Callithrix jacchus: one gene and its partners. The protein of the gene in region 6 purifies or fractionates together with the protein of the main gene of each other region. This does not show direct contact. Links are inferred from orthologs where the notes say so. Each region holds a gene or a part of one and is shown on either strand. Other genes may lie near its edges. The genes, in order: SNRNP70, SF3A3, PHF5A, RBM17, SF3B6, SNRPB2 and SF3B5.

What was found.
Region 1: the proteins of SNRPB2 (region 6) and SNRNP70 purify together in Homo sapiens (affinity purification with mass spectrometry; 5 studies listed by BioGRID and IntAct, counting the BioPlex papers as one, with this or other methods). This does not show direct contact. The link is inferred for Callithrix jacchus from reciprocal best matches to the Homo sapiens genes SNRPB2 and SNRNP70.
Region 2: the proteins of SNRPB2 (region 6) and SF3A3 purify together in Homo sapiens (affinity purification with mass spectrometry; 6 studies listed by BioGRID and IntAct, with this or other methods). This does not show direct contact. The link is inferred for Callithrix jacchus from reciprocal best matches to the Homo sapiens genes SNRPB2 and SF3A3.
Region 3: the proteins of SNRPB2 (region 6) and PHF5A purify together in Homo sapiens (affinity purification with mass spectrometry; 4 studies listed by BioGRID and IntAct, with this or other methods). This does not show direct contact. The link is inferred for Callithrix jacchus from reciprocal best matches to the Homo sapiens genes SNRPB2 and PHF5A.
Region 4: the proteins of SNRPB2 (region 6) and RBM17 purify together in Homo sapiens (affinity purification with mass spectrometry; 3 studies listed by BioGRID and IntAct, with this or other methods). This does not show direct contact. The link is inferred for Callithrix jacchus from reciprocal best matches to the Homo sapiens genes SNRPB2 and RBM17.
Region 5: the proteins of SNRPB2 (region 6) and SF3B6 purify together in Homo sapiens (affinity purification with mass spectrometry; 4 studies listed by BioGRID and IntAct, with this or other methods). This does not show direct contact. The link is inferred for Callithrix jacchus from reciprocal best matches to the Homo sapiens genes SNRPB2 and SF3B6.
Region 7: the proteins of SNRPB2 (region 6) and SF3B5 purify together in Homo sapiens (affinity purification with mass spectrometry; 3 studies listed by BioGRID and IntAct, with this or other methods). This does not show direct contact. The link is inferred for Callithrix jacchus from reciprocal best matches to the Homo sapiens genes SNRPB2 and SF3B5.

What each region holds. Positions count from the first base shown.
Region 1 is NC_133523.1:42,899,742-42,903,931, reverse strand, and holds the start of SNRNP70 (U1 small nuclear ribonucleoprotein 70 kDa), read right to left. Parts: upstream 2,801-4,190; 5' UTR 2,607-2,800; intron 1,825-2,606; 5' UTR 1,815-1,824; coding exon 1,668-1,814; intron 1-1,667. UniProt on the Homo sapiens protein: Component of the spliceosomal U1 snRNP, which is essential for recognition of the pre-mRNA 5' splice-site and the subsequent assembly of the spliceosome. SNRNP70 binds to the loop I region of U1-snRNA.
Region 2 is NC_133508.1:74,545,737-74,549,236, forward strand, and holds part of SF3A3 (splicing factor 3A subunit 3), read right to left. Parts: intron 2,381-3,500; coding exon 2,216-2,380; intron 2,101-2,215; coding exon 1,990-2,100; intron 519-1,989; coding exon 428-518; intron 1-427. UniProt on the Homo sapiens protein: Component of the 17S U2 SnRNP complex of the spliceosome, a large ribonucleoprotein complex that removes introns from transcribed pre-mRNAs.
Region 3 is NC_133502.1:192,270,243-192,274,446, forward strand, and holds the start of PHF5A (PHD finger-like domain-containing protein 5A), read right to left. Parts: upstream 2,801-4,204; 5' UTR 2,756-2,800; coding exon 2,673-2,755; intron 2,336-2,672; coding exon 2,244-2,335; intron 1,762-2,243; coding exon 1,595-1,761; intron 1-1,594. Other genes in the region: ACO2 (aconitate hydratase, mitochondrial), read left to right, coding at 3,251-3,286.
Region 4 is NC_133508.1:7,706,231-7,710,266, forward strand, and holds the start of RBM17 (splicing factor 45), read right to left. Parts: upstream 2,801-4,036; 5' UTR 2,665-2,800; intron 1-2,664. UniProt on the Homo sapiens protein: Splice factor that binds to the single-stranded 3'AG at the exon/intron border and promotes its utilization in the second catalytic step. Involved in the regulation of alternative splicing and the utilization of cryptic splice sites.
Region 5 is NC_133515.1:91,183,868-91,186,999, reverse strand, and holds the end of SF3B6 (splicing factor 3B subunit 6), read right to left. Parts: intron 1,077-3,132; coding exon 938-1,076; intron 771-937; coding exon 681-770; 3' UTR 501-680; downstream 1-500.
Region 6 is NC_133506.1:23,839,124-23,843,323, reverse strand, and holds the start of SNRPB2 (U2 small nuclear ribonucleoprotein B''), read right to left. Parts: upstream 2,801-4,200; 5' UTR 2,745-2,800; exon of another isoform or gene 2,641-2,744; intron 1,169-2,640; 5' UTR 1,135-1,168; coding exon 1,071-1,134; intron 703-1,070; coding exon 530-702; intron 1-529. UniProt on the Homo sapiens protein: Involved in pre-mRNA splicing as component of the spliceosome. Associated with sn-RNP U2, where it contributes to the binding of stem loop IV of U2 snRNA.
Region 7 is NC_133505.1:150,851,934-150,854,536, forward strand, and holds SF3B5 (splicing factor 3B subunit 5), read right to left. Parts: upstream 1,237-2,603; 5' UTR 1,117-1,236; coding exon 856-1,116; 3' UTR 501-855; downstream 1-500. Other genes in the region: uncharacterized protein LOC118153004, read left to right, coding at 1,237-1,335. UniProt on the Homo sapiens protein: Component of the 17S U2 SnRNP complex of the spliceosome, a large ribonucleoprotein complex that removes introns from transcribed pre-mRNAs.

The DNA of each region.
Region 1 (4,190 bases), on a different chromosome or scaffold from region 6:
GGACTGCGGACACGTGCCACCACGCCCAGGTAGTTTTGGTATTTTTAGTAGAAACAGAGTTTCACTACATTGGCCAGGCTGGTCTCCAACTCCTGACTTCGTGATCTGCCTGCCTCAGCCTCCCAAAGTGCTGAGATTACAAGTGTGAGCCACCACGCCCGTCCTATCTAAGAAGTTCTGCTCTGCAACTCCCTCCACCTCCAGCTGCCCATTCCTACCCAATGCGAGAATGTTCTTGTAACTTCTGGCTGTGTGCCAGCTTTCCTCAGGTGTCCTCAGATACGCCTACAAGATGACCATTGTCATCCCAATTTCACAAATAAAAACAGAGAGGTCCAGGAGCCTAAGTCATTCATTCCTGAAGTCATTTACCCTGAAGGTGCAGAACTAAGATCCTGGTCTGGGGTTTTAAGCCCTCCAACGCTCGGTGCTAGCCCTTTATGAACACCATCTTATTAACAATAAAAGTAGTAAACAGAGTAGCAAAGGCCGACATAGGCTGCCTGCTTGATGCCAAGCCCCCTGACATACACATTGCCATTTAATTCTCCACCAACAGTATGAGGGGTGCTACCACTATCCCCTTGCTAAAGATAAAGAAACCAATGCATTAAGATACACATTTGCCCAAACTCACAGAGCTATTAAATGGTGCAAGCCAAGTGTGAATCCTCAACCACTACTCAACTGAACTTTCTCACAGAAATTCTACAAAAGGTATACCATCAACCCCACTTTTTTTTTGAAATGGGAGCCTCACTCTGTTGCCCAGGCTGGAGTACAGTGGGACAATCTCGACTCACTGCAATGACTGCCTCCCGGGTTCAAGTGATTCTTCTGCCTCGGCCTCCCAAGTAGTTGGGACTAGCAAGCACCATCACGCCCGGTTAAGTTTTGTATTTTTAGTTGAGATGGGATTTCACCATATTGACCAGGCTAGTCTTGAACTTCTGACCTCAGGTGATCCACCTGCCTCAGCCTTCCAAAGTGCTGGGATTACAGGTGTGAGCCACTGAGCCCAGCCTCACTTTGTCTGTTTGTTCGGAGACAGTACTTTCTATTGCCCAGGTTGGAGTGCAACGGTTCCATCTGGGCTCACTGCAACCTCTGCCCTTCGGGTTCAAGTGATTCTCCTGCCTCAGTCTCCCGAGTAGCTGGGATTACAGGTACCCACCACCATGCCCAGCTAATTTTCCTATTTTTAGTAGAGACAGGATTTCATCATGTTGGCCAGGTTGGTCTTGAACTCCTGACCTCAGGTGATCCACCCGCCTCAGCCTCCCAAAGTACTGGAAATTACAAGCATAAGCTACCGCACCTGGCCACAAGTCCACTTTAAAAAAAAAAAAAAAAAAATTTTTTTTAAGAGATGAGGTCCTGTTCTGTCACCGAGGCCGGAGTATAGTGGCGCAATCACAAAGCAATCCAGCCTCCAACTCCTGGGCTCAAGCAATCCTCCCACCTCAGCCTCCTGAGTAGCTGGAACTACAGGTGCACTCGACCACACCTGGCTCCAACCCCATTTAAAACAGGGAAACTGAGGATCACAAAGATGAAGCCAGTCGCTTAAATCACACAGCTAGCAAATCCAGTCAGAGGCTGGACTCCCAGATCCAATCCTTGCACCCCACAACCCAAACCATTCCTGGCCTGCTCAGTGAACTCACCTCAAACTCTCGAATGTACGGCGCAATGCCACAGTAAGGTTGATTGTGGTGTTTTTCATGTGGCAGTTTCTCCAGGGGTGGCAGGTATGGGATAGGGTCACGGGGGGCAAAAAGGGCCAGAAGGTTGGGCGGCAGGAACTGGGTCATCTTGCCAAGTCTGAGAGCAGAAGCAGGACAGCCTTAGGTTAGATTGGGTCTGCACAGAGAAAGCCCCTATTTGTCCCCTGACTCTCAAAAAAAAAAAAAAAAAGAAAAAGAGAGAAAACAGGAGTAAAGTCTCGGAATTCGAAGAGGCTCTGAAAGGGCAGAGAACCGTCCTACGCTAGAAGAGAAAAGGGCATCTCTTGGTGGGGGTGGAGGTGAAAATCAGGCCCGTAAAGGAAACAAAAAACAAAGGCTGGAAAAGGGTTCCTGAGCAGTGAGGTCTCAGAGTCCTGACCCACGAGCTGTGTGGCGGAGAGCTTCCCTGGGGATTTCTGGGGGAATCAAGGACCCGAGAAAGGAGGCACAGAGCAGTTGTGGCTGGCTGCTCGTCTCGTATCTTGGAGGACAAATTATGAGATGCGGTTTGCAGAGGCCTGGAGGTCTGAAGTCTCCGGGCAAAGAGAAACATAAGCAGCGAAGCCCCAAAGCCAAGCGCCTGTGGGTAACAGACCTGGGCGCCCCCAAGACGAAAGGAATTATGGGTAAAGGTCCAGGACAACATGGAAAGACGAAAAAGAAAAAAGGCCATACACCGCAAGGGCCTGTGGGTAGGGGACCTAGGACGCTACGGGAAGCAGGCGTGGGTGCGCAGAGGGCTCGGGTTTCGGGAAAGGGATGCAGAAGGGACCTGCAGCAGGGGACGCGGCAAAGGGGCCTGGCTGCAGGTAAAAGTACCGGGGCCCACCGCAGGGGCTTGTGGGTAGCGGCCCAGCACCCCGGACCACTCGGCCACACTCACTCGCCGCGCGGCGCCCTCCTGGGTCTGGCGTCGGTCCGGAGGCTCGGGGCGGCTGCGGCGGCCCCTCAGCAACAAGAACTTCCGCTTTGGCTTCCACTCCGACGGCGTCCGCGTCTGCCTGACTCCCTTGCCCGCGCAGCGAGCGCACAAGGCCGCTGCTCAACAACCCGCGCGGCCTCAGCTACCGACTGGAGCAGGGGGTGGGTCTCGACCTGAAATCCCTCCGCCGTCAGCACTGCGCATGCGCCGCGAGAGGCCAAGACCTACCCACACACCAGGCCCAGGAGCCGTCGCTGGCAAAGCGCACGCGCGAGGTCACTACCCCGCCTTCGGGCACCTTGAGTACCTCAGTCTCCTGGAGCTGGCGTCTGCGCTGCGCGCGCGCGCTCAGCCCCAAGCCGCCCCTCCACCTGCCGCTTTCCGCTCCGAACCGCCTATGTCCACGAGACTCTCTCTGACGCTCCGCCCCTTTCCCGATCACACTTCCCTGATTTTTTTCGCGCATGCGTGTTGTGTAGAGTACTGTAACGTACCTCTCCGCCGCCTAGCAAAGAGTCCCTAAGTGAATAGCCTGATTGCGTTGATGTCTAATCTATTCAATCAACTGCTCATCGAGCATCTCGTATGTGCTAGGCACTGTCTGGGCTTTGGGGGCTACAGCACGTGACTAAAGCAAAGTCTTCTCCTGCTTGGGCTTACATTGTACTGAGGGAGACAATAAAAGCGCTTGACTGAATAAAGATAGTTTAAGGGCTGGGCCCGGTGGCTCACTCCTGTAATCCCATCACTTGGGAGGCCGAGGCAGGCGGATCACCCGAGATCAATTGTTCGAGACCAGCATGGCCAACATGGTGAAACCCCGTCTCTACAAAAAAATACAAAAATTGGCCGGGCATGGTGGTGTGAGCCTGTAACCTCAGCTACTCTGGAGGCTGAGGCAGAAGAATCGCTTGAACCCAGGAGCCAGAGGTTGCCCTGAGCAGAGATCACCGCCATTGCACTCCAGCCTGGGTGACAAGAGCGACACTCTATCTTAAAATAATAATAATAATTTGAGATGGTGACCAGCATAATAAAGAAGGACAGAGCAGAGTAAAGGGATGGGAAGTGAGAGTGAGGCCATTTTATAAAGGGTGATAACGGAAGGCTCCTCTGAAGTGTCATTTGAACAAAGGCCAGATAGAAGCAAGATCGGGGGACGGGGAGGGTTAACAGCAGGCGCAAAGGTCCTGAACTGGGACCAGATGGCAGGAATCTCAGGTTGTTGGCCGTGAGATCAGAGAGCTGGCATTTATTTTATTTAAGGCCCTGTTGTTAAGTATTGCATTTTAAGTTTTGTGGATGGATTCAATAGCCTGTTTAATAACTATAGAAATTATTGCAAAATTCAAATGACTAATTTTCAAGAAAAAGGCCAGCAACTCAGGAGGCTGAGGCAGGAGAATCGCTTTAACCTAGGAGGCAGAGATTGCAGTGAGCTGAGATCGTGCCATTTCACTCCAGTCTGGGCAACAAATTGAGACTCACTTTCCAAAAAAAAAAAAAAAAAAAAAATGCCAAGTGCATTGGCTCATGCCTGT
Region 2 (3,500 bases), on a different chromosome or scaffold from region 6:
GCTAATGCCTGTAATTCCAGCACTTTAGGAAACCAAGGCAGGCAGGTCACCTGAGGTCAGGAGTTTGAGACCAGCCAGGTCAACATGGTGAATCCCTGTCTCTACTAAGAAATAAAAAAATTAGCTGGGTGTGGTGACGGGTACCTGTCATACCAGCTACTCAAGAGACTGAGGCAGGAGAATCACTTGAGCCTGGGAGGCGGAGGTTGCAGTGAGTTGAGATCATGCCACTGCACTCTAGCCTGGATGATAGATAGCGAGACTCTGTCTCAAAAAAATAAAAAATGCAATAATTATACAACTGTCCTAGATTTTACATATCTACAACCTACTGCCTTTAATCCCAGATACACAGGTTATTAGGATGCTGACTTGAAGGAGAGGCCATTTGTACTGGCCTAGGAGACAGTAAATAAACCTTACTTACAGGAGACAGCATCTTCAATCTGTGTCACATTAGCAAAGTGGGCAGTATTTGGGATGCCCAAACACCTCATGCCATGAGCATGACGCCATTCCTGGGAGAAGAGAGATGCAAAAGGACCATGTGAAATGGGAATAGCTGAACACAGAGCACTAACTCCATTCTACTCATAAATGCTAACATGGCCCTTTCCAGGACTCCACCTAAAGGCAGCATTCCTTGTGTTTCATGTTTGTAAACAGCTGGCTGTGACTGACAAAAGGCTGGTATTTCAAAACAGCATTGCACTGTTTGCCTCACTGGGCTGTGTTGTAAACCTAGATTCTAGAGACAGTAGTCTTACATGTAAAATTTCTGGGTGAGGATCACAGGAAAACATCACAACTCTAACTATATGTCCCACACTGCGGGAGAACCTACCAAAGCCCCAGCAACTCTGAACACCTGCATGAATACAGGTTACTAATGGCAGGTCAGCATCATCTTTGTTAGGCATAATGATGTGGTAAAACATGATGGCAGTTTTGGCTGAGGGATGGTAAATGGCATGTGGGTTTTAACCTGGATGTCAACTCCAATCATTGGAAGTGGTGCTGAGAAATATTCAGAACTCACTCATGGGCTCAGCAAAAAAGACCCAGGATCAATTAGTAATATGCATGACTCAGAGATGGGGAGAGGAGTTCATATAAATTCATCATCCTGGGCTGGGCGAGGTGGCTCAAGCCTGTAATCCCAGCACTTTGGGAGGCCAAGGCGGGTGGATCACAAGGTCAAGAGACCGAGACCATCCTGGTCAACAAGGTGAAACCCTGTCTCTACTAAAAATACAAAAATTAGCTGGGCATGGTGGTGCGCGCCTGTAGTCCCAGCTACTTGGGAGGCTGAGGCAGGAGAATTGCTTGAACCCAGAAGGCGGAGGTTGCGGTGAGCCGAGATCGTGCCATTGCACTCCAGCCTGGGTAACAAGAGCGAACCTCCGTCTCAAAAAAAAAAAAAAAAAAAAATTTCATCATCCTTGGTCTAGCATAAATCTTTTCCATTCTGTAATATTTCTTTCCAAAGTCTAAGAACTGAAAGTAGAGTCCAGTTAGAGGAGAGCCCACTTAGAGTAGCACCACCCGAACAATACCGTCTCAAGAATAGCTTGATAAATAACAGCCCCTTTGTTTTCTCAAAGAGGCAAAGGCCCATTTAAGATCCAAAAGAGATCAGTCAGTTCCATTTTCAGTCCTGAGTTTTAGCAATGGGGTAGAGAAATAACCAAATCAAAATTGATCTAAAATGTTAGCAAAAAACAAAGAGAGAAGTCTAAGAGCAGGCAAGAGAAAACCAAATGAGGTTCAAAGAGCAGAGTGGTAGAATTCCTCCAGAAACTGTCTCAGGTATTAACACTAATACTGGGGCCAAAAGTCAAATGCCATGGGCTGGATTTTAAAACTATCCTTTTCTGATTCCCTTCAGCTCTGGACACCAGTGGTCCACATGGGCTGCTCCTACTCTCTTCTCTAAAAGTCTAATGTTTTCACTTCAATTCCCAGGAAAAATGGCTCTGAATTTCTTACAGCAAAGTGTCGCTGGAAGGCTTTGGGCCCTCGGTAGGTGTAGTTTCCACAAATCTCACAGTTGTAGTTGATATTTAGGCCATGAAGCTTATATAGCCAGTAGGGAATGGGCTAAAAAAGAAAAACAAAAACAAAAAACAAAACCATCATGAAGTGTTAGCCTACTCAACTCTGTATCTGCTTCCAAAATGGGGAATGGGGAGAAAGTGGTAGTGCTGAGACTTACTTTGCCATCCCAGCCAAGCGGCAGGTTTTTGGGGTTGTAAATGATCTCATTCTCTTCATCTTCACTCTCACTCTCACTAATCTGCTCTTCTTCCTCCTCTTCTCGCTCTTCTCCTGTCCTTGCTTGCTTGCGTTGTACATTTTCATGCGTGAGATGTCGCTGTTCCTAAGGCAGGTCCATAAATGAAAAGTCAGAAAAAAGTAGTGCAGAAGAGGCCAGGCGTGGTGGCTCACATCTGTAATCCCAAGCACTTTGGGAGACCGAGGCGGGCAGATCACCTAAGGTCATGAGTTCGAAATCAGCCTGACCAACATAGAGAAAACCTGTCTTTACTAAAAATAAAAAATTAGCCGGGCATGGTGGTGCATGTCTATAATTCTGGCTACTTAGGACGCTAAAGCAGAACTGCTTGAACCTTGGAGGTACAGGTTGTTGTGAGCTGAGATCACACCACTGCACTCCAGCCTTGGCAACAAGAGTGAAACTCTTGTCTCAAAAAAAAAGTGCAGAATAAGAAGGGGAAATTTCCTGTTGCTGACCCCTTACTTCCAAGGATAAGGTTCTTTCTTCTAGAATAAAGGAAAATCTTGCCTTTATATCAGAACTCCTTATCAGCAGGCCCTACCTGATCCCAAAAAAAAAAGTCTAAGGTTTTAGATAACTTGCTTAATTACTCATCTGAGGCTATTACAGAACAACAGAAAACAGTCTCATCTATTCTGACTCTAAAATATTTCCTGGCTTACACCTGCAATCCCATCAATTTGAGAGGCTAAGGTGGGAGAATCATTTGAAGCCAAGAGTTTGACATCAGCCTGGGCAACACAGTGGGACCCTGTCTCTACGAAATAATTAAAAATTAGCTAAGCATGGTGGTGTGTATCTGTGGTCCCAGCTACTTAGGAGGCTGAGGCAGGAGGACTGTTTGAGCCCAGGAGTTTGAGGAAGCAGTGAGCTATGATCCCGCCATTGCATTCCAGCCTGGGTGACAGAGCAAGAACCTTTCTCTTTTTTCTTTTTTAATTTTTATTTATTTATTTATTTTTTTAAGACGGGGTTTCACCATGTTGGTGGTCAGGCTGGTCTTGAACTCCCAACATCAGGTGATCCGCCCACCTTGGCCTCCAAAGTGCTTGGATTACAGGTGTGAGCCACCACACCTGGCCCGCAAGAACCTTTCTCTAAAAAATACTAATAATAAAATTTTAAAAATATAAAATATTTCCTTACACAGGACTTCTCCTTTCCTCACCAACATGACCACATTCTAACTTGCCTTGAGTCT
Region 3 (4,204 bases), on a different chromosome or scaffold from region 6:
TGTCATGATATATACCCAAATAGTGCTTAATGATAGATTTGAGACATTAATGAGTGGCTGTGACACAACATGCACTGTATAGGACTAATAAACACACAAGGTCTCTGTCACCCAGGCTGGAGTGCAGTGGCATGAACATGGCTCACTGCAGCCTTGACCTCCTGGGCTCAAGTGATTCACCTGCCTCAGCTTCCCAGGCAGCTGGGACCACAGGTGCACACCACCACACCCTACTAATGAAAAATATTTTTTTGGCCAGTCATGATGGCTACATGCCTGTAATCCCAGCTCTTGGGGAGGCTCAGGCAGGAGGATTGCTTGAGCCCAGGAGCTTGAGACCAATCCAGACAATAAAACGAGACCCCATCTCTACAAAAAAATTAGCCAGGCTGAACATGGCGGCTCATGCCTCTAATCCCAGCACTTTGGGAGGCCATGGCAGGTGGATCACCTGTGGTTAGGAGTTTGAGACCAGCCTGACCAACATGGAGAAACCCTGTCTCTACTAAAAATACAAAAAAAAAAAAAAAAGCTGGGTGTGGTGACACATGCCTGTAATCTTAGCGACTTGGGAGGCTGAGGCAGGAGAATCACTTGAACCGGGAGGTGGAGGTTGTGGTGAGCCAAGATTGCGCCAATGTACTCCAGCCTAGGCAACAAGGGCAAAACTCCATCTCAAAAAAAAGGAAAAAAAAAAAAAAGAAAAAAAATTAGCTAGGTGTGGTGGTGCATGCCTGCAGTCCCAGCTACTTGGGAGGCTGAGGTGGGGGGATTGCTTGAGCCCAGGAAGTCAAGGCTGCAGTGAGCCTTGCACATGATCATGCCACTGCACCCAGCCTGGCCACGGAGCAAGAGACCCTGTCTCAAATAAAAATTATTATTTTTTGTCGAGATGGGATCTTGCTGTATGGCCCAGCCTGGTCTTGAACTCCTGGACTAAAGTCATTCTCCTGCTGTGGACTCCCAAAGTGCTGAGATTACAGGTGTGAGCCACCATCCCCAACTGGATGTCTTTTTTTTCTGAGACAGAGTCTCACTCTGTTGCCCAGACTGGAGTGCAATGGCACGATTTTCGCTCACTGCAACCTCTGCCTCCTGGGTTCAAGTGATTCTCCTACCTCAGCTTCCTGAGTAGCTGGGATTACAGGCGCACACCACTAAGCCTGGCTAATTTTTGTATTTTTAGTAGAGTCAAGGTTTCACCATGTTGGTCAGGCTGGTCTGGAACTCCTGACCTCATGATCCACCTGTCTCAGCCTCCCAAAGTGTTGGGATTACAGGCGTGAGCCATCGCGCCTGGAGCAGATGTCATTTCTGAATAAGAATAATCACAGAGAGACATAAAAAGAATAGAGAGAGGGCTCTCCAAATTGCTGGTCTTGACACAGATTTGCTTACCTTGCATTTTCCCCTTGATGCAAAATAACTGCCTTTTATTGGACTACACCCAGTTTGACTCACAGAACTTGAAGAAATTATAACCTAGATGACTAGATGAACACAGTAATCTCCATAGACCATAGGAGATTGCAGTGGATGGCAAAGTGTTATTAAATAAAAGGAGGAAAGGTCAGATGGAAAGCTGTACACTTACATCCTTCTCCTGGATGGTACACTCCTTACAATAATAGGCATCAGAGACCCCAGGGCCTCCGCAGATCACACAGCGCCCCTGGTAAGATCCATAATTACACTCATCACATATGCGAACCAGAGTACAGGGACGCACATAGGAGTCACAAATCACACACTTGCCATCACCTGCAAGGAAAAGAATGAAGTCATGCTCACTAGCAAGTTCTTCAGTCCTCTGCTATTTCCTGCCATGGGGAAAGATACTAGTCTCCTTTTGACAGTGACTTTAGGGCCCTCCTCTTGGGAATCACAAACTTGGTTTATCCAGCATCCATCTCAAACCCCTCAACACATACAAAAGTTTATCAATTAACATATGGAAAGAACTTAGAAAAGCACTTGGGAGATGATAAGCCTATATAATTGCTGGCAAAATGTTGTATGTTGGGGAGGGGTCACGCTACTCTGGCGATTCTTCCTGTTGAAAGCTAGAGATAGATACAGCATTATATGTGCAAGTGGCAGTGGGGAGATGGAGGGGCCTTTGGTTGAAGTCCAGCATCTAGATCCAGGCACATCTACTCAAAGACCCCTTTGTGGCACTTTGGCTGGCTCCACAGAAACTGGGAGTAGGAAGGGTGGGTTGTTGGACGGTGTGTTCCACTCACATTTTTCACACAGTCTTCCGATGGCTGCAAAATCAAAGATAGTAAAAAGTACAATTAAAGATTTTGACAAAGAGGGGAAGTACATCCTCGACCTAGGGACAGGAACATGAACAAGGACTGTAGTGAGCCCTGTGGATAGCCATTTTATCATTACAAATTTCCACATAAAGCAAACTCATAGCCCGAGTATCCTTCTGAATGTCTTCCAAAGTCCTTAGCAAACTAAGTTTCTCTAGACTTGGCCCAGACCCCAACCCCGACGCCTGCCTGGGGCTCCCAGCACGCGCACCCCCGCCCTCAGAGGCCACAAACCTGCGCGCTCCTACAACACTCTATGCCTGAGAGGCGGGAAACGTGGCGCCTGAGAGGCTAGACCCTAAGGAAGAGATGGAAACCCCCCCAGCCCCCAGATCCTAACACTACCCCTACCCAGACAGCCGGGGGCAAGGCGCAGTCTCACCAACACCAGCCTGTTTGCGGCAAAAGATCAAATCAGGATGATGTTTAGCCATAGTTCCCAACGAAGCCGGCCGCCGGAAGCTTCGGGAACTTCCGTTGGATCCTTAACCCCTATAGTTCCTGCCTCTACGTCGTTGTGATTGGTCCTCTAGGCTTCCGTCAGTTTACAATCCTTGCACCAGGGCCCGCTTGCTCTCGCGAGAGTTTTGTCGCTGGGCGGTCAGGTCCTGGCAGGTGCATAAAAGTCTTAAAAACTCCCAGATTTGGATGGCAGAGATAATGAAAATTTCTTATTGGATAAACATCTTTGTGCTTGGTATTTACTTCTGCAAGTGACTTTCGGCAGTTTTATTTCCTCTTTTTCCTCTTGCGTGTCGGTTCATTACACGTGAACTCCGCTCACTGCGTTCTCAGGGTTCTGCCGCCTCTAGGGAGACCCCGCCTTCACCGTGACGCTCCATTATTTTGGGCACGCCCCTGCCCAAAGGCTTTAAAAGCGCCGTGTGGGACGTCACTTTCACGCGACCTCATCTTTGTCAGTGCACAAAATGGCGCCCTACAGCCTACTGGTGACCCGGCTGCAGGTGAGCAAGCTCAGGGACCTCTAGGTTCATGGGGGCGGGGTGCCTCCTACTCTGCCGGCGGCTGTGGGTGAGGCAGGGCGAGGCGGGCCCGACCTGGGGCCAATTTTTCTTGTACCTGTCCTGGTTGTGGGCCCAGCACCCGTGCCCGCTCCTCTGGTGCCCTAGGTCAAGGCGTCCCCCACACTGTCAGCTTTCCTGGCCCCGTCCCCCGCCCCGCGAGAAGCGTGGGCCCACGCAGCGGCGGCCAGGTGAGGAGCGGAGGCACCTCCTTCTTCTTGAGGAGAGCATTCCCTGCTTCTGTGGAGTGTGTTTCGGTTCCTCAAGGTGAGGACAAGGTGACTAGGGGGCGCGGTCGTTGTTGAGCATTCTAGGCCCAGTGCCTGAGGCCTCACTTCCCATTTCATAGCAACAGAGACTCGACAGCATCTGCAGTTGCCGGGCCTGGAGAAGAAACTAGGACCCTGTGCCACCTTTTGAGGACTCTGCGGAACATGGAATGCCTGGGGGTGTCTTCTGGGCCCCTGCGTAGTATATAGTAATGATAGTTTCTCACCTTTGCACAAGATTTGAAAACTTTTAATTCTTCGTTAAATCATTTGATTCATGTAATCATAGGAATGAGATGGTTTTTCTTATCTGATAGGTCATAAAACTGGTAGAGAGTAGGTGAAAGTTCTGGTTCTGAGTGTCACCGAAGTGCTGTGACAGAAGCATGAGCCCTACCACCACTCAGTTTTTGTTTATGTCAGTTTGCCCTCACAGAACTTTCTGAACCATGGTACTGTCATTTCTATTTGTCAGAATGCAGAATGAATGTTTTGAGCTCATAACAAGTTGCTTGTCAAATATGGAAGGATAGGGAGACTCCAGTTTGACCTTGACTTCCCTGTTAGAAGCTATGTAGAAAGCTGACTGTGA
Region 4 (4,036 bases), on a different chromosome or scaffold from region 6:
TAGCTTAGCACCATGCTTGAACATTGCAAGTGGCTCTATTAATATTTTCTAAACATGTTAGTGAATGGATGGAAAATGTTAATGCACCTATTTAAATCACAATCTGCTTTTTTTTTTCAGACAGAGTTTTGCTCTTGTTGCCCAGGGTAGAGTATGATGTTGCAATCTTGGCTCACTGCAACCACCATTTCTCCTGCCTCAGCATCTCAAGTAGCTGGGATTAGATGCATGTACCACCACACTTGGCTAATTTTGTATTTTTAGTAGAGTTGGGGTTTCTCCATGTTGGTCAGGCTGGTCTCAAACTTCCGACCTCAGGTAATCCATCCACCTTGGCCTCCCAAAGTGCTGGGATTACAGGCGTGAACCACAGCACCTGGCCACTGCAGATCTGCTTTTTGAGGACATAACTTAAGATAAGTAGGATAAAATTTAAGTTGTAAGCCATAATTAAGGAGAGAAAAACTACCACCACCACACAACCAATAGTAGGTCAAGGTCTGAGTTCTGAGCACCTAAAGAAGCAGGCGTGTTAGGAAGAAATATTTCTATTACTAAATAGATATTCATGCATCATAAAACAAAGCATACCTCTTTGAAACCTAAGGAATATGGTAAGACTGGGCGAGGTGGCTCGCACCTGTAATCCCAGCACTTTGGGAGCCCAAGGCGGAAGGATCACCTGAGGTCAGGATTCGAGACCAGTCTAGCCAATATGGTGAAACCCCATCTCAACTAAAAACACAAAAATTAAGCTGAGCGTGATGCCGAGCGCCTGTAATCCCAGCTACTCAAGGCCGAGGCAGAGAATCATTGAATCCGGAAGCGGAGGTTGCAGTGAGCCAGTTGCGCCGCTGCACTCCAGCCTGGACCATACAGTAAGACTCCGTCTCAGGAGAAACAAAAAAGAATATGGCAAATACACACAGAAAGGAACAGGAGGGGTGGTGCACTTTGATGTCCACAAAAAATACGGCAAAAAAGGCATCTACCTCATGTATAAGATCTACCATAACTTTCTAAAGAACTGAAAAAAATTTTCCCCATACCTTCATCTGCCCTTGACAGTTTAATCTTTCCATTCATTCTCACAGTCTGCTACTCTCAAAATGCCATCGGGTAGAATTGCAAACACAGTCCAATAGAGTCACCTATAATTTAGGAGCGTAACAGAACATTCTTCACTATTGACTATGATGGAAGGCTTGAGAGATGACTAACCTGGGATCATCTGCTCCCTGCTGCGGGGAGGTCTGAAAAACTCATATGCAGAGGAGAATGAAGGTAATTTAAAACAAACCAGGTAAAAAGAAATCCACTTTAAATAAAGCTGCATTTGGGAGTGTACAACAATCCTCTCAAGAGCCTCCAGAAAGGCTGTCTTTGGTTCCGCAGAGGTCCACGATCGCACAACCTGCTGTTACAAACTGGACAGCACGCAGCACCTTGCCTAACTAACTCTAAAAATAAAGCCCTCTCGTTTAGCTCATAAATTGTTACCCCATCATCCCTAAAAGCTGTCATTACGATCAAAATGTCTGCAGCCTTTACCAACTAGAAATCTGGAAACTGAGTTGCATCCTTTAAAAACTCCATCTGTTGCAGGGAGCCAGTGCTCATGTACCCGTCTATTTGAGTATATGCGTATCCTGCCCTGATCTAGAATATCCTATTTTCCATCCATATGCCAGGCTCTAGCAATAAGGATCCTCAATGGCGCTCCTTTGCTGCTCCTCAAGAAACCTCCATGTTCTGACCGGACGACTCCTCGAAACACAGCACCCCCTCCTGAAACCTTCCTCTCTGCCTCACCTGCAGCTTCCAGAACGCACTACGGCGCTTCACTTCTGCTACTTTCGCCGTGACTTCCTCCGCCAGGAGCCTTTTTTCCCACCTCGCACATCTAACAAAGTACCTTCAAGACTCAACATAAGCATCACCTCCTCTCTCAAGATCTCGCGTCCTTCACCAAACCGAGCCTGGGTTTCCACGCCTGCTTTCCCAGAAACCAAACTCCTGCAAGCAAGGGCAGAACCTCGCTCCACCTGCATTCTCATCATTTCCCATCCTCTGGGCAATAGGTGAAGCTCAAGGACTGCCTGGGGTCGGAAGTGCGCGCTGAAACACCGCTCAAACGGCACGATCCGAGGCGACGCCGGGGTCCGGGCTGCCTTCCCGTCTCGGGGAGCTCCGGAGTCTGGGAAACGCCAACGTCTGCACTCCCAGTTCTGAGAGCCGGGGAAGAATCGGCTCCTTTCTCTGAGCCCGGGAGAGAGGCAACTGTGCGGGGCCAGGTTGGGGGACACGCTCCGGGTCTAGGGACCGGGCAACTTCGTCAGGACGTGGTGCACGAAGTGGAGGCGAAACGCTCTTCAGGGCCGAAGAGCCCGAGGCAGACAGGAGGAGGAGGGGAAGAGGGAGCAGGCCAGAGCCCGGGTCACCCGAGGCGGCGGCGGGCGGAGTGTACCGGGCCACCGCCGAGCGGAGAGGCCAGGGCCCGCTGCGGGGACTGAGACCCGCGGAGGCTCGGGTTGAGATGGCCCGGCCCCCACCCCTCGCGACGCGGCCTAAAGCCGCGGCCTCGCGTCCAGCGCTTCCCGGGAAGGCGCGCCCGCTTCGGGTCCCGCCAGGCCGCCCCCCTGGGGCCGCCAGGGCGCGACTTACCCGGCCCGCCCAGCCGACTCTGCCCATGGGCCGCGGCGGCGGCAGCGCGGAGCCGGGCGGCACTCCGCGGAAACCCGCCGGCGGCAGGAGCCCTTGGCGGCGCCCACCCTTCGCTGAGTCCTCAGGGCGCTCGGCTGCGCGGGGTCAGAGAGCGCGGGCTGCCGGGAGAGCGCGCCGCGCCTGCGCCTGCGCCTGCGCCTGCGCCTAGGCCTGCTTTGGCCTCTGCGCCTGCGCCGAGGGCTCCTTGCCGCACTGCCCCCTGCCCGCGGGAGGACCGCACTGCACGCTCCCCTCAGCAGGCGTCCTCTTCTACCACCAAGAGGTGTCGCCTGGGTGCACGTTTTCGAAATTCCACAAAGTTTGAGGAACGCGCGGCAGCGCCCCCAGATGGTAAGAAGGAGAAGTGGTCCGAGGCCGCGCTTTCTGATTGGGGGAGGTGGGGGAGTGAGTGTCTCCAGGTCTCTCGATCTCATTCATTCAAAAGCAAAAAGTTGAAAATAAATCTGCATAGCCGAGATGCTGGCAAAAGGATGGCAAGGAGCACGGGGTTGAGCATAAGATTAAGGAAACAGATGCCGCGATTGGGGTACAGAAAAGAATGTCAATGCTATAAAGCCTCGATCTTTAACAACAACGTCGCTGACAGAAGTAGGGAGGGGAAGGGAACGTGGGACTTCGGGAAAATGTGATTTTTACATCTGTAATTGGGTGTCAAATAGAGTTCAAGCCGATAAGTCAAATAGTAGAGATTTAAGCAGACGTCTTAGTCCGAAGGAATATACCAAGATACTATAATCCATTAAAATCCAGTGATTAAGAAAATGAGAAATGAGAGGAAAAAAAGAAATAGAATGGAGAGGCAAAAGAAAACCAAAGAAATAGAGGATTAAGGACGTCATGGGATGGCATAATTCTGAGGGCGACGCAGAGCAAAACTACAAATCTTTCAAATAATACACACACACACACACAACCACAGCAAAACAAACAAAGCAACGTAGGGAAATATTTGAAAAAGTTACAAAACAGAAAGCATAACCAAACTATATGACAGAACAAGACCAAATGTCTCACAGGAAGAAATATAGACCTAAGCTTAGCTATTAAAAAAAGGCTCAGATTGGAACACAAACCATCGTGCAACTAAATGTTGTATAAAAGAAAGTGCTGGCCGGGCAAAGTGGCTCACGCCTCTAATCTCAGCACTTTGGGAGGCCGAGGCAGACAGATCACCAGGTCAGGAATTCGAGAGCGGCCTGGCCGACATGGTGAAACCCCAACTCTACTAAAAATACAAAAAATTAGCTGGGCGTGGTGGCGTATGCCTGTGATCCCAGCTACTCGGGAGGCTGAGGCAGGAGAATTGCTTGAA
Region 5 (3,132 bases), on a different chromosome or scaffold from region 6:
TTATATACCCATAATAATTTTCAAAAAAATTTAGAGAGGCAAATCTAAGTTTCTAACAGTGTACTACCATCTAAATGACCATTTCTAGAATAGACCTCTGTTCTAAGACAAGGGTACCCATACTGACAAAGGTATTTTGTTAACTATAAAGCAAGCATCATTCAAATGTAAAGGCTTGGTTGCTATTACACCAGCTTTGTAGGTTAGCATTTTATTCATTCACCCAACATCATGAGCTTTGGTTTCCTCGCCTGCAAAATGCAAATACCTATCTTCACTGAGTTGTTATAAAGATCCATTATTAATAGACATTCAATAAACAGCAAGTTCCTTTGACGGCTAAGCACTGCACTGGACCCCGGAGGCATTAAGAATATAAAGAGGTCCTGTTTTCAAGAAACTCGGACTCCCTAGGAGCACCTACAATTCCTGATAAGCTTCAACTATTTTTTTCCTGGTATCAAACAGGGAGGGAAAGTTCAAAAGAAAAGACAGACGTGTTTCACAAAAAGCAACAGGTTTATTAATATCATGTATTCTGATATGTATCAAAGTTTCAAGGTCATTTTGAACCTAAAATAAGAAATCACAATATTTAGTATTAATTAAAAAGGAAAAAAAGGGAAAAGATGGTAGTTGTCATTCATGGTTTCAGTCCAAAATGAAAATGTAGAAAACATTTATTTTGGTGGATCTGTGTTGATGCCATACTTCTCCTTGAGAAGCTTCAACTGTTCCTCCTTCTTCTTTGTGTCCATCTTCTGAAATGCCTGGAAATGCAGTAAGCACCAAAGTTGAATTACCGATCTACAGCCAAATAAATTTCACCAATAGCATTAGCCAAAAAATAGTCACAGTAGACATATATCGTCACAGCACAGTTCTACACTAATTTTCAAATGAGATCACCATACAAGGAGAACTTGGCTATACTTACCCTGTTGGCATTATAGTACAAAACCACAAGGTATCTGTTACAAACATTGAATCCTGATAGGTGATCACATGCATTCTTGGCATCAAAGATGTCCTCATAGACCACATAAGCTGTTCCTCTAGTTTCAGGTGTGTTCCCCCTGGAGAGTTAAATCAAACTTAATTAAGATATACGTTTACCTGAGCATTGAGTTGAATAACAGAACTGTCTTTTAAACTGGTAACTGTCTTCTAAAGACAGTAAACTGAAATATGTTTTTAATTTAAATATTTTGAAACCAACCTGAAACCATAAGAGGAAATAAACACGCATAGATAACTAGATAAGCCTGTAATTTCTTGAATTCGGTAATTTTGTTTTTTGTTTTTATCTTAAGTAAAACATCTATAGGTCAAGCTTACTGCTATATCAGGAATACTAGGAACACAGCTACTACCCAGAACTCAGCTTCTTACCACCCTGTCTGGCACTACATTGCTTTTTTTTTGAGATGGAACCTCACTCTTGCCTAGGTTGGAGTGCAGTGGCATGATCCCAGCTCACTGCAACCTCTGCCTCTCAAGTTCAAGTGATTCTCATGCCTCCCAAGTAATTGGGACTCCAGGCATGTGCCACCATGTCCAGCTAATTTTTGTACTTTTAGTAGAGATAGGGTTTTGCCCTGTTCCCGGGCTGGTCTCGAACTCCTGACCTCAAGTGATTGAGCTGCCTCAGCCTCCCAAGGTGTTGAGATTACAGGCATGAGTCACCAAACCTGGTCTACATTCATTTTTAATACAACTCAATGCCTTTTTAATACAAACTCTAATGCATGATACAGCTGTATGGCTGGGGAGAAGGGCTAGGCTTCTGCAAAGATGGGAGTGGAAGTGTGCTTATAGATAGGGTTATCTGTGAGCAAGGGCAGAATGCTGGAAGGTGACTGGAAGTGGAAACTAGACCTTACTCATAGATATGGGGCTGCTGTTAGTGTAGGTATTCCTGGCCACTTCCTTCCTTCACTTCATCAGCTTCCTCTGAGAGAGGTAGAGAAGTGTGAGGAGCAACAGAACACTAAATTGTAGGCAGCAGCTGGCCATGTGATTGTCAGTGGGGACAATGGGTAGAGTTCCCACTCAGTTCATGCTCTGGATGACAAGATGGCCCCCTTGCCTCCATCTGTGTTCTGACCACCCAGTGCAACCGTGGAATGAGGTTTAAGATTGTTGGCTTTCCATCTGCCACAGTCCCTACATAGGGTTGAATAAAAGCAGTGGAGCCATGGGAAGTGGAGGCACATGCCTAGACTTGATCTAGGACAAGATTATAGTCCGGGCCCTGCTCAAGCTTCTGCTTCCTATAACATTGAAAAGGTGCAGGGTGCTGGGGGTGATTGGAGGGTGCCAGTGTCAATGAGTATGCTCACTTTGTCAGGTTACGTGGGCCTGATCTCGGGTTTTAGAATGTTCTTTAGGATCTGGGAAGTCTTAACAACTTTCAGACTTTTGACTTTTAAAAACTTAACAAGATTTTCAGTTCTTTAAGAGCAAAGGTGATCTTATGCCTACTTCATTTACTCCTATAGTGCCACACATAAGGCAGATGCTAATATGCCTTTGAAAGGTGGAGATCTACTTCCTATCAATTCTCTCACACATACTTTCTCCAGGAAGCTCAAAACAAAGCAACTCTCTTTCTTCCTCTTACATCTTCTTAGGAACCAGCATAGGGATAGATACTAACCCCACTTTAAAGACCCTCCATCTCAAGTGTCCCAGTCTTAATTATCAGCCTCACATCTTGAGAGCTGTATTATAATCTGAACATATATATATATATATATATATATATATATATATATATATATATATATATATATATTTTGAGATGGAGTCTTGCTCTGTCGCCCAGGCTGGAGTGTAAAGGCGCTATCTCGGCTCACTGCAACCTCCACCTCTTGGGTTCAAGTGATTCTCCTGCCTCAGCCTCCTGAGTAGCTGGGATTACAGGCACCCGCCACCATGCCTGGCTAATTTGTTTTATCTTTAGTAGAGACAGGGTTTCACCATGTTGGCCAGGCTGGTCTCAAACTCCTGACCTCATGATCTGCCTGCCTCGGCTTCCCAACATGCTGGGATTACAGGCATGAGCCACCGTGCCTGGCCAATTGGAACTTTTAAAAGCATGTATTTGTACCATGTATAGGGCACTGAGCT
Region 6 (4,200 bases):
ATGTGAATCTCATTATGTCATTCCTGAGTTTAAAACTCTCCATGAATAACAAGTTCATTTCCATTGTTATTCCTTAATCTTATGAGTTTAACCCTATAATTTTTCTTTCAATCATTGTTTCTTCTAGACTGTATAGCTTCTGACATATAGTATTTCACTATTAGCATTTTCTAAAACTTCAGACTGAATTTCCTCTTTGACTCATGGCTTTTATAATGTTTTACAAGTTTATAAACAGGTTTCAAGTCTTCCAGGTTATTATTAATTTGTAACTTTTTGAGATAAGAATATTGCCTAGACTGCCATTTATAAAAACATTCTACAACTCAATGTATTTTGTTTTTGCCCATCTGAACTGTTGTAAATTAAACTCTACAGCTACTGTTTTTCTATAAAAATACGTAAAACCAAGACATACATAATTAAAAGCAGAAAGCAACAGCCACAATTTCAAGCATATTTGCAAATCGACTCTACCATTAGTATCATTAGTTTCTTGATTAAAGGGAAAATAATAGGATTAGCTTACCATTGGTTTACCATAAAATGGAAATCCTTGTAACTGTCTCAAAGCATTCGTGGATGAGCCCAGTTCCTTAAAGATGACAAAGGCCTGCCCCCTCATCTTCATGGTCTTTAAAGCCACAATGTCCACGACATGACCAAACTGAGAAAACAGGGCATAGAGGGATCTCTTCAATTCTGTCCAAAGTAGAAAAGAAACAAGTCACTGGTGAATCAAATAATGACAAGTCTTCAAAGTATACTCTATTGAGTTGCTAACACCATTCACTTATGTATACAGTTATATTAATATTTATAAAAAACATATACTATTCCCATTGGCTGTATGAAACCATTATAGCTATGAGTAGCAACAGACTGAACACAGTGTCAGTTCCTATCTATTTTTGTTTTTTAAAAGCCTTCCCATCCTTACAGGAAATGGGATAAACCATTATTTCAGGCACTAAGATGATGAGGTGAGAGGTTTTCAGGCAGTACGATTTTTAAGACAGTAGTAAATAAACACATTTTAGTTGTGAACAAGTATTTTAAAAAGCACTTACCTTCCTTTTTAATTTTGTCATTCATATTGTTGATATAAATTGTATGATTTGGTCTGATATCCATGTTTGCGTTAAATTCTTCAAAAACAGTAAGTAATCTGTTACAAAAAAGAAAGATTAAATTATACTGGACTGTAGCATAAGGACACAACACAAGAATTATTAACTTTTCACTTCTCTTTCAATTCCCAATTGTCAGAAAATGTCAGTTTGGCTGTAATCTTTATTGTATCTCCAGCACCCACTAGCCCTTCCTTTCATACAAAAGAACAGTGTCTCATGCTCAAAACTTGGGGCACCAATACCTAGCCAGATTTTTGTAACAATATTTAATTCAACACATTTATTTTTACACTTACTTTTCGCTTATGACAAGTGATACTGACTTTCCGCCTGCTCGATGAAACAATTTAAAAATACAGATTTGAAGAAAAATGACAAAGTAGCAAATGTACACCCAGTAAAAATCATAAGATTAGACATTAATGAAGCTTGCCAACTTCATGCCAATTTCATGGGTGCACTTATAAAGTCCTTCCATACCTATCACTTAATTTGTATCTCCAAGCTATCTGGATTCCAAGGTTACCTCTAACCGACCTAAAAGAAGGGAGCTCAATGAGAGCAGTATGGCATGACTGTTAAACTCAGATTCTAGTGCCAGCCAGATGTGAAGTGAAATCCTATTTATGCTCCTTACTATCTGTTTGCCTGAGGAAAGTTCCTTAATCCCTCATGTCATCAGTGAAACGAGAACGGTAACAGAACCTACCCAACAGAACTCAGAAGACTAAATGAGTTCTAGCACGTTCTGCATCAGCGGTAAGCACTTAGGAGTAATTATTAACAGCTATTACCAGTTAAGGGACTTGCCTAAGGTCACACAGCTAATAAGCATTAGGCCTGGAAATTCAGCCCTTGCTTTCTCTACATTTTTCTCATCTACCACACAATTGCATTTTCCACATTGTTTTTACTTGCAAAGTGTGAACTTGCTTGATTTCCTTGTGTACCCCAAAGTTTCTTTATCTCACAAATATTTACAGAGCATCCACTGTATATGAACAGCACTGGACGATTGACAAGGTAAGAGCCTACAAGCGGGGCTACGGAAACGCTCCTCAAAACCTTGCGACCCCCTAAATCGAAATCTGGAGAAGGGGCAGGAGTCGCAAAGGAGACGACGAAAGGGAAGTGATTGAGGCAGAGGTCAAACCGAAGGTAGGGGAAGAAAGGGGAGGTTCCTGCAGGGTCTCCCGCGAAGTTTGAACATAACCTTGATTGCTACAGGGCCTCTCTGAATTACCCGCCACTACCAAAAGGGAGCCGCTGGAAGACACCTGAAAGCTCAGTGAACGGCCCACGCCTCGCAAAAGCAGATGGACATGAATTATCCTTTACTTCGTACGCGCAAGCCTCCCACCTCTCTAGACACAAGCACCTTCGCCCAAAGCCCCGGCAAGAAGTCCAAGGGAGCAAAGACGCGATGCCCGGCCCCAGCCAGTCACGCGCGTCAGTCTCCATCCCTTCTCGCCCCTAAGACAGAACCCCGGGGCAAACGCGTCCCCACCTCAGCTTTACGCTTCGTCCGCTCCCAGCTGCAACAGGGGAAAAGAAAGGCAGAGGAGTCAGGAGAACAGAAAGAGCAAGGAGGTAGAAGGCGCAGGAACCCACCTAAGGCGTACGCCGTCCCTCGTTAGATCTAACAGCAGGAAACGGAGCCAGGCACCGGAAGTAACGTTGCCAGGCTCCTCAATCGAGCGTCGACAAGTCTAGAAGCCGAGCACGGAGTCGATCGATGCTTCCGGCTCTCTGGCGGCCAAGGCTGGGAATCTCTCTGCGCTTGCGTAATGCCTGGAGGGCAGGAGATGAGTTCGGAAGTGGGAATGGGGAAAGATAGCAGGGTTGTGGGGACCGTGCTGCGAGGAAATAGGGAAGGGAATGAATAATTTCCCGTACCACGACCCTGCGAAGCTTCACCCCGCACAAGAGTGCCTAACACCTTTCCAAATCCTATGTAATTTAACAGGCGCTGCCCCTCATGCTGTGGGGCAATTAGTCCTGGTTTCGCCCTTCTTTGGGCTCCGGCTGCCCGGGTTTAACATCACCTTTAGGATAGCCAGTTCCTCCTGCCTCCAAGTCTCCTCTGATTCCTGGACTCTGCAGGAACTGTCCTCCAACACTCTGCTGATGAGCTTGAATCTCAGAGGCTACCAAGGGCGGACAGAACTCCGAGTCTGCCCTATTCTCATCTTTCAGATATGGCAACCATGCTCGGGTAGAACCCAGTCATCTTTAAGATCATCTGCCTCAACTCACTCGAAAAAATAATTCCCTACCACCCTTCCCACTCTTCTCTTCCCACAAAATGTCTAGATTTTTCTAGGGTAATCTAAGGAGTTAGTGTTTATGCCAAGCTGAATGAGAATTCCAAGAAGTGCATGCATTCGTTCATTCATCCATTCATCAGATGTCTGCAAAGCATCACCTGGAATATGAAATGGTTGTTAAGGGTCTAGGGGAACCTCATCTTGTATCCTTCTCTTAACTATATTCTCTCTGACCTTCACTTTCTTTATCTGTAAAATAGGTATCCTAATAGTGCCTCCTTCTAGTTGTTGTGAGCATTAAATGAGCTAAAATAAATGTAAATTGATTGGCACATTGCCAGACAAAATAAATGATCATAAATGTTATTTCTGAATTCTGGCTATAACATGCATATATTGGTGAGGCAAGTAGCTGTCAGATTGGTTTTATCAGCTTGGAATTTTTATTTTTTTAAATAAAAACCCAAATTTGCAACAACTTAAAAATAATACAGATTTCTTAAGGGTGGGGGTTTGTCTGCTCTGCTTACTCAAGTACCCTTATTAATTAGAAAAGTGATAATTAACATGTATTGGATAAAAGAATGAATGAAATGGAAAACTAGGCAACAGTAAAACAAATATGAACATGCACATAAGTGTAGACAATGTTAAGGGATCACAGAAAAGCATCATTTTATTATAGAGATCTAAAACTAGAAGAAATAGCTGAGTGCAATTGCTCACACTTGTAATCCCAGCACTTTGGGAGGCTGAGACAGGAGGACTGGTTGAGGCCAGAAGTTCAAAATCAGCTTGGG
Region 7 (2,603 bases), on a different chromosome or scaffold from region 6:
CTTCTAACATTTGCTTGCTATGCCTACAGTGTTTGACCTTTCTCCACCACCAGCATTAATGTATACCCAAGAACATGGGAAAATGCCTGTCACATAGAGCTCAACAAATATTTGTTGAATGTAGAATGGATGAACTCGCTTGCCATCTTGTCATTTCTGGAGACATGGTTTCAAATTCCCAGGAAAAAGAAAGGATGTAATTTAAAGAGGCTAGGGAAAACAATGACAGCAAAGATTTTTAAAACAGAAGAAAAAGATGGGATACATTAACCGCAAACTTCAAAACTGAAGTCATTGTGAGACTGAAAATAAAGCTCTTGGAGGAAGTGGCAGTCGGGGAACACTATAAAGGTATACAGGCATATCTAAGTGCCTGGCCACAGACACTGGCATTCGCACCCTCACCCAAACCCATTTCCCACTCGGACTCTCGCGAACCTCGGTGCCTGGAGCTCTTTCCGGAGCCCTCCACCCTAACACAGGAAGTTCACACCAAGAGACTGAACGATTTCTAAACTTTATGGAAAAAGCCAATGACAATCAATTAGGCAAAAACGAGACGCCAAATCCCATCTCACTCCAGCGCCACGCCCTCTTCTCAGAGACTTGCCGGCTGCAGGACCTCTCCGCCAGCACAGTTCTCAGGGGTCCTGCTGGTCTCTCAATGCTGTCCCAAAGTGTCCACATGAAGGCGGGTCAGGAGGGACTTCCCCGGCAAGCACTTCTATACGCAGAAAGCGCGGGACGCAGGAGCCATGGAGAGAGCCGGTCCCTTGAAGGCAGGAATACTCGAGGGATTTGGCAAACGGGAGGAACGCTGGGAGAGGCGCCGCGCACGGCGTTGGTAAGGCAGTCTCAGTTCTCCTCGGGCTTGTCGGCTGGCGGTCCACAAGGCTGCAGCATCTTCTCCATCAAGTTGAAGCGGACTCGCGCTTTGCTCTCATTCTCCGCAATGGCGAAGTAGTTGAGAAGGTCGAAGTGGCCCATGTAGGAGCAGTACGAGTCGCGGTGTTGGTTCACCAGCCACTCCCACTTGGTGGTGTCGGCGTGGCCCGTGCCGATGTACTTGGACTGCAAGTGCTCCAGCTGGCTGTGGATGGTGTAGCGGTCCGTCATCTCGCCGCTTTCCCCTTCGCTCCGAGGTCAGAGGCCGCAGGAAACAAGTCACCGCTCTACCGTTTCAAGCGGGAGTGAGGACACCGCACAGCACCTCCGGGCCCACGCGGTCGCAGAAGAATGGCGTCACTGAGACTAAGTAGTGTAACTCTCGCTCATAGGGCTCAGAGGCGGAAGCGGAAGCGGAAGCACATCAGTCACGGAATTGGAGTTGCCGAGGTATGCGACGCTACAAGTGTGCCGCCCCTGTAGTGAGCCGTGCCCCTTCATAGAGCGTTGCATGATGGTCCGCTTAGTGGCTATGAGAGGCCCTTTTCAACCGGGAGCGTTGCATGCTGGGACTTGTGGTCTTGGTCTTTGGAGTTCGTGCACGCCAGCCTCCGGAACTTCTGGTCGCCTTTTAAAAGCGGTATGGGTGCCTAGTGGAGGGTGTTGTCTGCGAGGCGGGAAGCATCCGTGGTTGGCTTGGGGCTGATGGGAAATGGGAAACCCAAATAGGAGTGGACTACGAGCAACCCCGAAAATAAACTCTTATGTATTTCGGACCTATCGTGGCGGCACGGCAGTCCCTTCACTACCCGGGATGGATTACCCAGAAGTCAGTAGGCGCGAGTTCTGGTCCCAACTATGTCGCTTAGGAGTTTGTAGCATCAAAGAGTTATTTCAGCTCTAACCAGGGTGTTTGGTGAGCAAGTACAGTACCCATTTCCTCACATTCCGGCTCCACCTCAAGTTCCTCCTTCCTCTCTAGCCAGTTATTTTGATATCCTCCCTCCAATGCCTCACGGCACCCTACTTGGCCCTTCCATTCAGTGGGTTTTGTGAATTCAACCAACCCGACTGAAAATATTTGGGAAAAAAATTAGTGTGTACCGAAGTGTAGACTTTTAAAGGTTATTATACCCTAAACAATATAACAACCATTTACATAGTATTTACATTGTATTGGGTATTGTTAAATAATCTAGAGAAAAACTATACGGGAGGATGTGTGTATATGCAAATACAAGCCATTTTATATCAGGGACTTGAGTATCTTCTAGTTTTGGTATCCATGGAGTCCTGGAACCAATCACTCACAGATACTGAGGGACAACTGTACTTCTCCATGTTACCTGTTGTGCCCATTCCCCAGTTCCTTGTGCAAGCTGTTCCCTCTACTTGGAATGTCTGTTCCCTTGGTGAACGCATCTGCCTTAAAGGCAGCTCAAATGCATCTCCCTAGAATTTTCTCTGGCTGCTCCAGACAGATGTAAATTCTTCTTCCTCTTTGCAGATTATCCATCTCTTCCTTATTATTGCTTTATATCCTAATTTTTAGTTTAATAACTTCCTCATATGGATAGAGGCTACCTGAAAAAAACGAGATCCTCTTTAAAAATTATATATATATATATCCCAAACAAGAATTTGATAAATAATTGTATTACAACCGTAGAGAAGGAACACTACTGAGAGAGAGAGAACTTGAAAATAGTTTTATTCTG